3 linked regions of the Macaca mulatta genome follow. The protein of the gene in region 1 interacts with the protein of each later gene in a biochemical or structural test. Links are inferred from orthologs where the notes say so. Each region holds a gene or a part of one and is shown in the gene's direction. Other genes may lie near its edges. The genes, in order: SUMO2, SIMC1 and DDX3X.

Region 1 (3,751 bases):
AACTTTGGGGACAGCACCAGATTGCAGTGGGTTGAGGAGTGAGTGGGAGGGGAGGGGTTGGAGACAGCTGGCAGGGACATTTTTTCAAGCTGTTTGGCCAAGAATGGAGAGAGATAGGATGGTAACTTAATAGAATTGAGAGCTTCTTCTTTTTTTTTTTTTTTTTCTATACTAACGGAGGAGAGGAAGAAAATTCAGGGACAAAAGCAAATAATAAAGCCCAGGGGGAGGAGCAAGATGGAATCCAGTGCACACACTGGATTGTTCTTCAGACAGGAGGGATGCATGTCTATGTTTTAACTGGATGCAAGGAGGAAATGATTAAATTGGCTGGAAGCTTGATTGTTGGGTAGTTCTCGCTTAAGGATACTGTTTCCTCTTGGAAGATAGGCGATGAGTAAGGAGTTCGTTGAATGAATACACGAACATTTTCCCGTAGCTAGTCAAAGTCTAGGGTTACCAGCAGGACAGAAGAAGACACTGCAGGCCGGGTATGGTGGCTCACGCCTGTAATCCCAGTACTTTGGGAGGCCGAGGCGGGCGGATCACGAGGTCAGAAGACCGAGACCATCCTGGCTAACACGGGGAAACCTTGTCCCTACGAAAAATACAAAAAATTAGCCGGGTGTTGTGGCGTGCGCCTGTAATACCAGCTCCTCGGGAGGCTGAGGCAGGAGAATCGCTTGAACCTGGGAGGCAGAGGTTGCTGTGAGCCGAGATCGTGCCACTGCACTCCAGCCTGGGCAACAGAGCGAGACTCCGTCTCAAAAAAAAAAAAAAAAAAAAAGAAGAAGACACTGCATTTGAGGCAAGAGTCCGGTGGGAAGCAGGTTAAGACTGACTGAGAGGAAGTAACCATGGGAGGGCTGCTGGTCCACTGAAAGAGAGAGATTTTTCCAGAACCTCATGCTGGGGCTTTGATTTAGGAATCCCCTTCTTCCTCTAGTCAGTCAGCCTTCCCTGGCCTATGGCTCACGTCTAAAGCCTCGAGCCTCATCGTTCCCACCGAGGACCAGCTGGAAGCCATTTTGATTATGCTCCACCACGAAGGAGGACAATACAGCCCCGCCCAGAGCCAGGCGCGCCCCCGCGGCGGGCCGGGTGCGCGTGTCCGCGCTTCTTCCCGCCGGCCGGGCGGGCGCCTGGCCCAGGACGCGGTGGCGCGGGGCGGGGGGTGGGGGTGGTTATGTAAGCGTTGCGCGCTCCCGCGAGGCGCCAGCCAATGGGAGGCCCCGGCGGCTCGTGCTCGCGCACGCAGGGTGGGGGGAGGGAGCGCACGACGTGCGCGCACCCTCTCCCTCGTCCACCGCTGCCGCCTCCTTCTTCTGCCGCTCCTGGTGCTGCTTGTGTGCTCGTTTGGTGCGGACCTGGTACCTCTTTTGTGAAGCGGCAGCTGAGGAGACTCCGGCGCTCGCCATGGCCGACGAAAAGCCCAAGGTGAGCTCGGCGCCGGCCCCTTCGCCTCGCCGCGCGGTCGGGGTCAGGGCGCGGGCCGGGGTCCGGCCAGAGCTCGCCGCTGGCTCCCAGCGCCTTCCCGGGCCCCCCACAGGGCCGGCCGCAGCTCAGGCCCCGGCGCTCCGCGCCATTTTCCTCCCTCCCTCTCTTCCTCCCTCCCGCGCCGGAGGAGGCCCCGCCGCTCTCTCCCGCCCCCGGCGGCCTCCGAGTGCGCGCGGGGCGCGAGTTGGGCGGGCAGATCGCGGACGCCCGCGGGCCCACCAGCCCCGAACGGGGATTCTTGGCCCAGCCGTCCGGCGCGCGTGAGGAGGGGCGTTAGGGCGCGCGGGGTCTCCACCCTGCGCCGACCCCGCGTCGGGTGTTGCAGTCTCCGAGGCGGCGGGGAGTCCCCTGGGCTCGGGCTTCACCTCTCAGGGGTAGAAACCGCGGGCATCTGGGGACTCCTGCCCGGGGCGGCGGCGGCGGGGCGAGGGTTCGGGGCGAATCAATGGGCTGCTGATGAGCAGGAACCTGGATGCCCGCTGGCCGCCGTACTGGGCCTGGGGGTAGGGGGATTCCCGTGGAGTATTTCCCACTTTAATGGCCTCAGGGACCTGAGGGGGGAGGGGCAGCGGCTTTTCCCTGGGTGCCAACGAACCCCTAATCCGCGAAGACCATGTGGTTTCATGAAGTTGGAGGCACAGGTAGGAGCAGAGAGACTTTGTGCGGCTTAACTTTTGAATGCGGCTTTTGAGGCACCCGAAGACTTCCCGGGAGGACTGGGGGACACCCATCATCGGGGCACACGGGACTTGCTGCTTTTAGTTTGGTGACACCTCCCGCCTCTCGCGCCTTTACTTTCTGAAGCGTTTTAGGGCTACAGCATGCCTTCTACACTCGATTTTGGACAACTTTAGGTTGGGTCGAAATCTACAAGAAACACTTGGGATAAAACTGTGTATTTGACCCATGACAACAAAGGGGAGGGGAGAATAAGTGCTCTTAACCGAAGATAAAAATGAAGCTGCTAATAGAGGAGAACGTAACTGTGGTCCTGAGTATTACCGCTGTTCCGGAGGGAATCGGGATATTCTTCGATTTTTCGTGTGTGTGTTTACTTTAATGGAGATTGGATTTAGGTTATTAAACTGAGTTTGGTAACTTTTTAACGACAACGGTAATGAGTTTTGAATGGCAGGCTGTAGATTTATTGTTTTGTTTCTTGCAGTTGTACTTAAAGTGCTTAGAAAAGAGACTCTTATTTTTAACTTTTTTTGGGGGTAAAATATATATTTTGGGAGTGATATATGCCATTTTAGAAAGTTTAGCTTCAAGAGAACGTTCAATACACTGAATAGGACCCAACTTTAAACATGTATTGTTGTTACTGATAGTATTGCATGTAGGCTTTTCTGTATCTGACAGCTATCTAATACTGTTGCTGCAGGATTTCTCCTCTTTCACATTGATTTCAGCAGCTGAAAACAGCCGTATGCCGTTTTAGCATACCGTATGAGAAACCTGTTGATTTTTGAAGCAACTTAGGGCTGCTGCTGCTTTATAAAAGTGTGTGTTGATCACATTTCCCAAATTATACTTTTATTTTTCTTTTAACAGGAAGGAGTCAAGACTGAGAACAACGATCATATTAATTTGAAGGTGGCGGGGCAGGATGGTTCTGTGGTGCAGTTTAAGATTAAGAGGCATACACCACTTAGTAAACTAATGAAAGCCTATTGTGAACGACAGGTGAGGAATTCATATGTGTACTTCCACTGAATAAAACTATTTTTAAAAATCTTATTTTCATGGGAACAAAAACTAGCCTGGCATAATACTACAGTGACTTTTTGATGGGATGAATATGCACTTGTACTTGGCATGTCAGTTTTATCGTGCACTTGGTAGCTTGCTCATGAAAACCCTTAGGATGATTTGCTTAGTATTATATGTGGTTCCAGTCCTGTGCCAGAAATCCATCAAATTGTATTTACAATACTTGTTTTTTGGTTTTTTTTTTAACCAAGGAAATGTAATTTTATGTTTATAAGAAAGTAAGAGTGAACTTGGTAAAATTACTTAAGAGTCTTTTATTATTTTATTTTATTTTTTTGAGACGGAGTTTCATTCTTGTTGCTCAAGCTGAAGTACAGTGGCGTGAGCTCAGCTCACTGCAACTTCCACTTCCCGGGTTCAAGCAGTTTTCCTGCCTCAGCCTCCTGAGTAGCTGGGATTACAGGTGCCTGCCACCACGCTTGGCCAATTTTTTTTAGTATTTTTGGTAGAGATGGGGTTTCATCATATTGGCTAGGCTTGT
Region 2 (3,651 bases), on another chromosome or scaffold:
CCCATGTCATTAAAAGTTTTTTAGCTAAAGCTCTTGTTTGTCTGGTTGTTTTGAGATGGAGTCTCGCTCTGACACCTAGGCTGGAGTACAGTGGCGCCATCTCAGTTGACTACAGCCTCCACCTTCCAGGTTCAAGGAATTCTCATGTCTCAGCCTTCAAGTAGCTGGGACTACAGACACATGCCACCACGTCTGGTTAATTTTTATATTTTTAGTAGAGACGGGGTTTCACCATGTCGGTCAGGCTGCTCTCGAACTCCTGACCTCAAGCAGTTCACCTGCCTTGGCCTCCCAAAGTGCTGGGATTACAGGTGTGAGCTACTACACCCAGCCTCTTTTTTTTTTCTCATTATGAAATATTTCAAATGCCTGGAAAACGTTGCTGTCTTCAACCTATTCTAGAACCTCTTATTTTTGTATTCTACAGAAATCCCTCCTAATTTCCTTCTTTTTAATCTCTACAGAACAAGGGTCAAAAATTAGAACCCATCCCTCATCGAAGACTAAGAATGGTAGCAAATACCATTGAAGAGAATTTTCCCCTGGGGACTGTGCAGTTTTTGATGGACTTTGTGTCACCCCAGCATTACCCACCAAGAGAAATTGTGGCTCACATCATCCAGAAAATCTTGCTCAGTGGCTCTGAGACTGTGGATGTCCTAAAGGAGGCCTACATGCTTCTCATGAAAATTCAACAGTATGAACCGTAACCTCTGGCTGTTGGTGAATCTTCTAGGGATCTTGGACTCAGGGCATAGCTTTCTCTTGACAGGCTTTTTTAACTTGTTACACAGTGGGTGACTTAGTATATTAGTGTTATTTAAATTGCAAATGATAAGAAACCCAGTCTAAGCAGACCTTAACTACTGGTAAAAGAGAATGTAATGCCTCTTGTTACTAGAAACCTAGGAGTAAGATGTGACTTGATTCAGTATACAAAAATGGTTACCAGGATTCATTTTGCAGCTCTACTTTGGTTCTGTTTTGGGGCTGCGTGTGGTAGCCCTCTCACCCTCAGGCTTTTATGACACTTCCAGTGGGAGAGAGTGTCTGTTTCCTTTACAGTCACCCAAGAGTTCTGAAATTGAGTCTTGCAGGATTTAATTGGCCTAATGAGAGACATGACTATATCTTTGAGCCAATCACTGTGAATTGAGGGGTAGAACAGCATGATTGGCTAAAAAAGTCATATACTTCATTTTGGCGTTCTGGTAGGTAAAACTAGTTGGTTAAGAGTAGTGAAGAGTTGGTTTCTTAAGACAAAATTATAGTACTAAAGCTTTCCAAAAGGGGAGTGGATACTGGGTAGCAAAAAACAATGAAGTTCCACTACTCTCAGATTGACATGGTATAATACCACAGGGTGAGCAAGAGCGTGGAGGATAAGAAGAGGCTTCTTCCTTCTATCACCTTCCAGATCCCATCCCTTCTCCCTCTAAATTCTCCATAATTCTAATTGATTTCACTTGACTTTCAGGCTACATCCAGCCAATGCCAAGACAGTGGAGTGGGACTGGAAACTGCTCACCTACGTCATGGAGGAAGAGGTAACAACAATTACGAGGTTATATCTTCTGTAGGGGAAGTTTTAACTGTAAAGAAAAGTGATACCAGGTGCCATGGCTCATACCTATAATCCCAACATTTTTGGAGGCCGAGGCAGGAGGACAGTTTGAGCCCGGGAGTTCAAGGCCAGCCTGGGCAACAAAGTGAGACCCTGTCTCTACAAAAATAAAAATAAAAAATTAACCAGGCATAGTGACGCATGCCTGTGGTCCCAGCTACATGGAAGCCTGAGGCAAGAGGATTGCTTGAGCCTAGGAGGTCGAGGCCAGTGATCCATGATCACAACACTATTCCAGCCTGGGTGACAGAGCAAGACCCTGTCTGAAAAGAAAAGTGACAGTAAATCTGGTAATAAAGTCTACACCATTATTCCCTCCTGATACTCCCACCCCTGCCAAAAAATTCCTATTGAAATGGTATGTGCTGTCTTCCAATTCAAGATTTAGTATGTTTACTTATCCCTCTCCTTGAGATCCCATTAAAAATAATAGTAAATGAATAGAGAAAGTTATAAATTCATGGCTATAAAAAAGGGGGAAGGATAGTGGATTTGAATGAAGATTAGGGAGACCTACAGAGAATGTAAGAGTAATGACTGATGAAGCTGGGCAGAGAAAGCCATATACATGTAGAGAGGCTACAGCCAAGGAAGGACGAATCTTCCCTTTAGAGCACCAGAGAGGTCTTGGACTCAGAAACACAGTATCTAATAGAGGGCAGGAGTCAGATGTGGGCTGTAATTGGATATTTATTTTGAAAGTTGGTGGATGGAACAGCCAACCTCTTCTGAGGACAGGAGGATCAGTAGCCAGGTTACCCACCTTCAGGCAAAAAGTGAGAGAATTTATTGTCTAAAAAAGTTTAATGAGGCTGGGCACGGTGGCTCATGCCTGTAATCCCAGCACTTTGGGAGGCCAAGGCGGGCAGATCACATGAGGTCGGGAGTTTGAGACCAGCCTGCCCAACATGGAGAAACCCCATCTCTACTAAAAATACAACATGAACTGGGTGTGGTGGCACATGTTTGTAATCCCAGCTACTCAGGAGGCTGAGGCAGGGGAATCGCTTGAACCCGAGAGGTGGAATTTGCAGTGAGCCAAGATAATGCCATTGCACTCCAGCCTGGGCAGCAAGAATGAAACTCCGTCTCAAAAAAAAAAAAAAAAAGTTGAAGGAACCGTCTGTAATAAACAAAGAGCTAGTGCAGAGTTGGTGCTACAGGAAAAAGGTCTTCCACATTCTGACCTTTAAGGATCCCCGAGTTTAATAGCCAACTTTTTGTCTGCTCACCTAAAGCAATTAGCTACAACAAATTACTTTCAACTTAGAATTCTGTACATAGCCAAACTATCAGTTAAGTGTGAGGATAGAATTAAGACATTTCCAGCTATGCAGGAATTTGAGAATATATCCCCACACCCTGTTTCTTAGGAGGTTACTGAGGTAGTGTATCAAAGGCATGAGGAAGTAATCAAAAAAAGCGGGAAGGCATGGGATCCAGGGAACATCAGATTTAATCCAGGAGAATATTGAAGAGATGTCCCAAAATTACGATGAAGAGCGCACCTAGGAAGCAATTAGTCCAGATTGGAGTGAAATAACGGAGGACTTTAAATAGGAACAGTCTGGGAGACATCAGCAAGATGGTAGACTAGGAAGCTCCAGGCCCTTGTTACCCCATGGAGACACTGAATTAACAACCATATACAGGCCAGAATATCACTGTGAGAACTCTAGAGCCGAATTAAGAAGCTTCAGTGCCCAGGCCAATGCCTAACCCAGAGCATAGTCTATCAAAAGTGCTAGGAAAGTTTGTGGCATTTTACATGCCCATGTGCCTCTCCCTGCCTGGCAAAGCATGGTTCAACCAGGAGAAAACCTCCCATACCTTGGCTCTTCCCTTGGGCCAGAAACAAAAGAGTGGACCATGCATACAATGTACTGACTTGTATGGGGGCTGCCTGGCCGCCCACCTCGGCCTCCCAAAGTGCTGGGATTACAGGCATGAGCCACCGTGCCTTTCCTGGAGTGGGAGACTGAGGTGGGAGTATCACCTGAGGTCGGGAGTTCTAGGCCAGCTCAGCC
Region 3 (3,651 bases), on another chromosome or scaffold:
TCCTGAAGCTAAACACTCTACTTGTGTTTAAACCCTCTATCTGTCTTTGGGCTAATTTACATGTTTGTCATCCACTTACTTGGATATTTATAGCTGTACCCAGGAACCTTGTCTATACTGAGAATATATAGTGATGAGGGTTTTTCTTTTTCCCAGGTATTCCTGATTGTCATCAAGCTTATAGTAGACGAACCACTAAAATAATAGTACCATTTGACAGTAGTATTCTTGTGCTTTATACTATTGAAACTGAAAAATATTGCATTAAACCAAGTAATCTGACAGTCTAAGAATGTTCTAAATGAATACCACCTCCAAGAAACATGGAAACAATAGTAACTGTTTCCTAGTAAACCCATTCACACCTATAAAATGAATGGAAATTAAATTGTGATGATCATACAACAGTATCATAATCAATGTGTTATAGGCAAAGCTGTTGACCACTTAGAGGTAGTATTCATTCAAAAACAAGTCAGATTGCTTGATTTAGTGTACAGTAAAATTTTTTTTTTTTTTTGAGACAAGAGTTTCACTCGTTTCCCGTGCTGGAGTGCAATGGCGCGATCTTGGCTCACTGCAACCTCCACCTCCCAGGTTCAAGTGATTCTCCTACCTCATCCTCCTGAGTGGCTGGGATTGCAGACATGTGCCACCACGCCCGGCTAATTTTGTATTTTTAGAGAGACGGGATTTCCACGTTGGTCGGGCTAGTCTCGAACTCCTGACCTCAAGTGACCTGCCCGCCTTGGCCTCCCAAAGTGCTGGGATTACAGGCGTGAGCCACCGTTCCTGGCCAGTGGACAATATTTTCTGGTGGGGAGAATTAAAAACTTTGTCCTGGTGTAAACCAGCTGTAAATCTTGGTTGTCTTATAGGACCATGGTAGGAATATCTTGAGATTGAACCTCAAGCCCACAGAGATAAGATAGTGGAGGCCTTCAAATTCAGAAAGATTGATAATACCTTAACATGGTTCCTATTTCTAATTAATAATAAAATGGATTTGTGCTCTTTTAATCGAAGGTTTCTACGACAAAGACAGTTCAGGGTGGAGTTCTAGCAAAGATAAGGATGCGTATAGCAGTTTTGGATCTCGTAGTGATTCAAGAGGGAAGTCTAGCTTCTTCAGTGATCGTGGAAGTGGATCAAGGGGAAGGTAAGTGATTTCTTGTCTTACCACCTTATGTGTATGTGTAATAACAGTTTAGTAAGTTCTTATCCTGACCACCCATTTGGATGTCAAGCATTATGTCTGTTTAGTCATTGTATTTTCTTGGCTGTAAGAGGCTTTTACTAAATTGAACCTCTTAGTTAGAAATTAGATGAAAATAGGAATATGTTCATTGGCATAATGAAATGAGTTATTCTATTTCTCGAGTTTTATATGTTCCACTTAAAAGAGTAAGTTCCTCTAGTGAATGGCCTAATTTGGTTGGGATTTTTGTGGACTCTATAACAATTTCTAAATACCTTGTATTTTTGGTTACACAAGTATGGTGAACTGACCCCATGTGCCTAATAGCTGTTGTTAGTCCTGTGTCCTGATTTTTCGCAAACAGGCCTAAAACTCTAATAACATCTTAGTTCAGGTAAGGATTATTTTCTACCTTTTATCCAAAGTCACACAGGTGAATTGTCCTTTAAGTGACATCCTATTATAACTAGGACAATTGATATTCGGTGTGCTATTTTCTTCTTTTCCCTACCATTAAATATATTTGGATGAGCACTTTAAATGAAGGTTGTGAGCTGTTTGCCAGTTTCAAGTAAAATCTTTATTCTTAATTTTGTCATCTGCGAGGCTTTTTAGGCTATACGACTTTATAGAAATATAAAGATTACTGATTTTAGAAAATGAGGTTCTGTAAATGATGCTGGTTAGAGAGCCTTATTTGTCAAATAACTCAGAATTGGATTGTTGACATCCTTATAGTTAGCCATAACTTAAGTCTCCAGATACAGTTCTAGAGTAGGGATAAGAATCTGATAATGGTTAAATGATATGATTCTGATTAATTGCTTGTGCTGTTCAGGTTTGATGATCGTGGACGGAGTGATTATGACGGCATTGGCAGCCGTGGTGACAGAAGTGGCTTTGGCAAATTTGAACGTGGTGGAAACAGTCGCTGGTGTGACAAATCAGATGAAGATGATTGGTCAAAACCACTCCCACCAAGTGAACGCTTGGAACAGTAAGTTTTTGAAGTGTATGTTACTTGTGATGAAGCATTATAGTATAACAAATGAACTTACCCATCTTTTGATTTGAGGGAACTCTTTTCTGGAGGCAACACTGGGATTAATTTTGAGAAATATGATGACATTCCAGTTGAGGCAACAGGCAACAACTGTCCTCCACATATTGAAAGTGTAAGTATTTTTACTTGACTTTTAAAGACACAGGGATGTGTAAATGTTTTCATGGTACATTAGAATGTGAGGTGAGCTTCATAAAGTCATGTAGACCAGCAGCTTCATAGATTTGTGGAAAAGGAGAAGTTGAGTTCAGTGTCACCATTATGAATAATTTATTACCTAAAATAGAAAATGGGTCAAACATAGGAACAACCCAAAGTCTTCTCCAATGTGCAGTAAGCCTGGGGGTTGTTTTTTCTCAAAAGTATAATATGGTAATTTTCTTAAACTATAAGCTGAGTTACAAATCAGCTGTTGGTTGTTTCCATTATTAGTATAAAACAGAAATAGCTTTAGATAGCATTTCTAACCCCATTGAATTTCTTCACAGTTCAGTGATGTTGAGATGGGAGAAATTATCATGGGAAACATTGAGCTTACTCGTTATACTCGCCCAACTCCAGTGCAGAAGCACGCTATTCCTATTATCAAAGAGAAAAGAGACTTGATGGCTTGTGCCCAAACAGGTAAGCTCAGCTCATAAGAGTAAAACATTATCATATTTTTTCTGTAAAGGACTAGACAATAAAATATTTTTTTATGGGCCATGCAGTTTTGCAGCTGCTCAGCGCTGCTATTGGACTGTGAGAGAAGCCATAGATGATACATAAATTATTGGGTATGGCTGTATTCCGTAAGAGCTGTATTTATAAAAATAGCAGGCTTTATTTACAAAAATAGTTGTCTCAGTTTGCTGACTCCTCTTAGAGATGGACCAAAGAAGCCACTTTTTGGAAAACTTAATCATAAACTAAAAGTACTAATTACTAGTAATAGGGCAGTTAAAAAACACTGTCATCTACCAATGTCTGTTTAAAATTAATGAGCAGGATTTGTTTGTTTTTGAACAGGGTCTGGAAAAACTGCAGCATTTCTCTTGCCCATCTTGAGTCAGATTTATTCAGATGGTCCAGGCGAGGCTTTGAGGGCCATGAAGGTAGATGTTTCTTTATAAAATGGGAAATTATTGTAGAACTTTGTAGGAGGCCATTGAGAGGGCTTTCTAAATGATGCTAAGACTTAAGTCGAATGAAAAACAGTTTTCAAGTGTAATCTGTAATCTATAAATTACAAAAGGGAATTATGTTGTGATGAACTTTTCAAACAGGGTAGGTAGAGTTAACTTAAAAATTGATTTATTTCTTAGGAAAATGGAAGGTATGGGCGCCGCAAACAGTACCCAATCTCCTTGGTATTAGCACCAACGAGAGAGTTGGCAGTACAGATCTACGA

Evidence for each region.
Region 2: the proteins of SUMO2 (region 1) and SIMC1 form a complex in vitro, tested with the Homo sapiens proteins (2 studies listed by BioGRID, with this or other methods). The link is inferred for Macaca mulatta from reciprocal best matches to the Homo sapiens genes SUMO2 and SIMC1.
Region 3: the proteins of SUMO2 (region 1) and DDX3X form a complex in vitro, tested with the Homo sapiens proteins (2 studies listed by BioGRID). The link is inferred for Macaca mulatta from reciprocal best matches to the Homo sapiens genes SUMO2 and DDX3X.

Annotation. Positions count from the first base shown.
Region 1 is NC_133421.1:84,873,749-84,877,499, reverse strand, and holds the start of SUMO2 (small ubiquitin-related modifier 2), read left to right. Parts: upstream 1-1,287; 5' UTR 1,288-1,416; coding exon 1,417-1,437; intron 1,438-3,051; coding exon 3,052-3,183; intron 3,184-3,751. UniProt on the Homo sapiens protein: Ubiquitin-like protein that can be covalently attached to proteins as a monomer or as a lysine-linked polymer.
Region 2 is NC_133411.1:185,230,515-185,234,165, forward strand, and holds part of SIMC1 (SUMO-interacting motif-containing protein 1), read left to right. Parts: intron 1-464; coding exon 465-697; intron 698-1,477; coding exon 1,478-1,547; intron 1,548-3,651.
Region 3 is NC_133426.1:41,240,329-41,243,979, forward strand, and holds part of DDX3X (ATP-dependent RNA helicase DDX3X), read left to right. Parts: intron 1-1,026; coding exon 1,027-1,159; intron 1,160-2,036; coding exon 2,037-2,195; intron 2,196-2,273; coding exon 2,274-2,373; intron 2,374-2,749; coding exon 2,750-2,885; intron 2,886-3,269; coding exon 3,270-3,355; intron 3,356-3,565; coding exon 3,566-3,651. UniProt on the Homo sapiens protein: Multifunctional ATP-dependent RNA helicase. The ATPase activity can be stimulated by various ribo-and deoxynucleic acids indicative for a relaxed substrate specificity.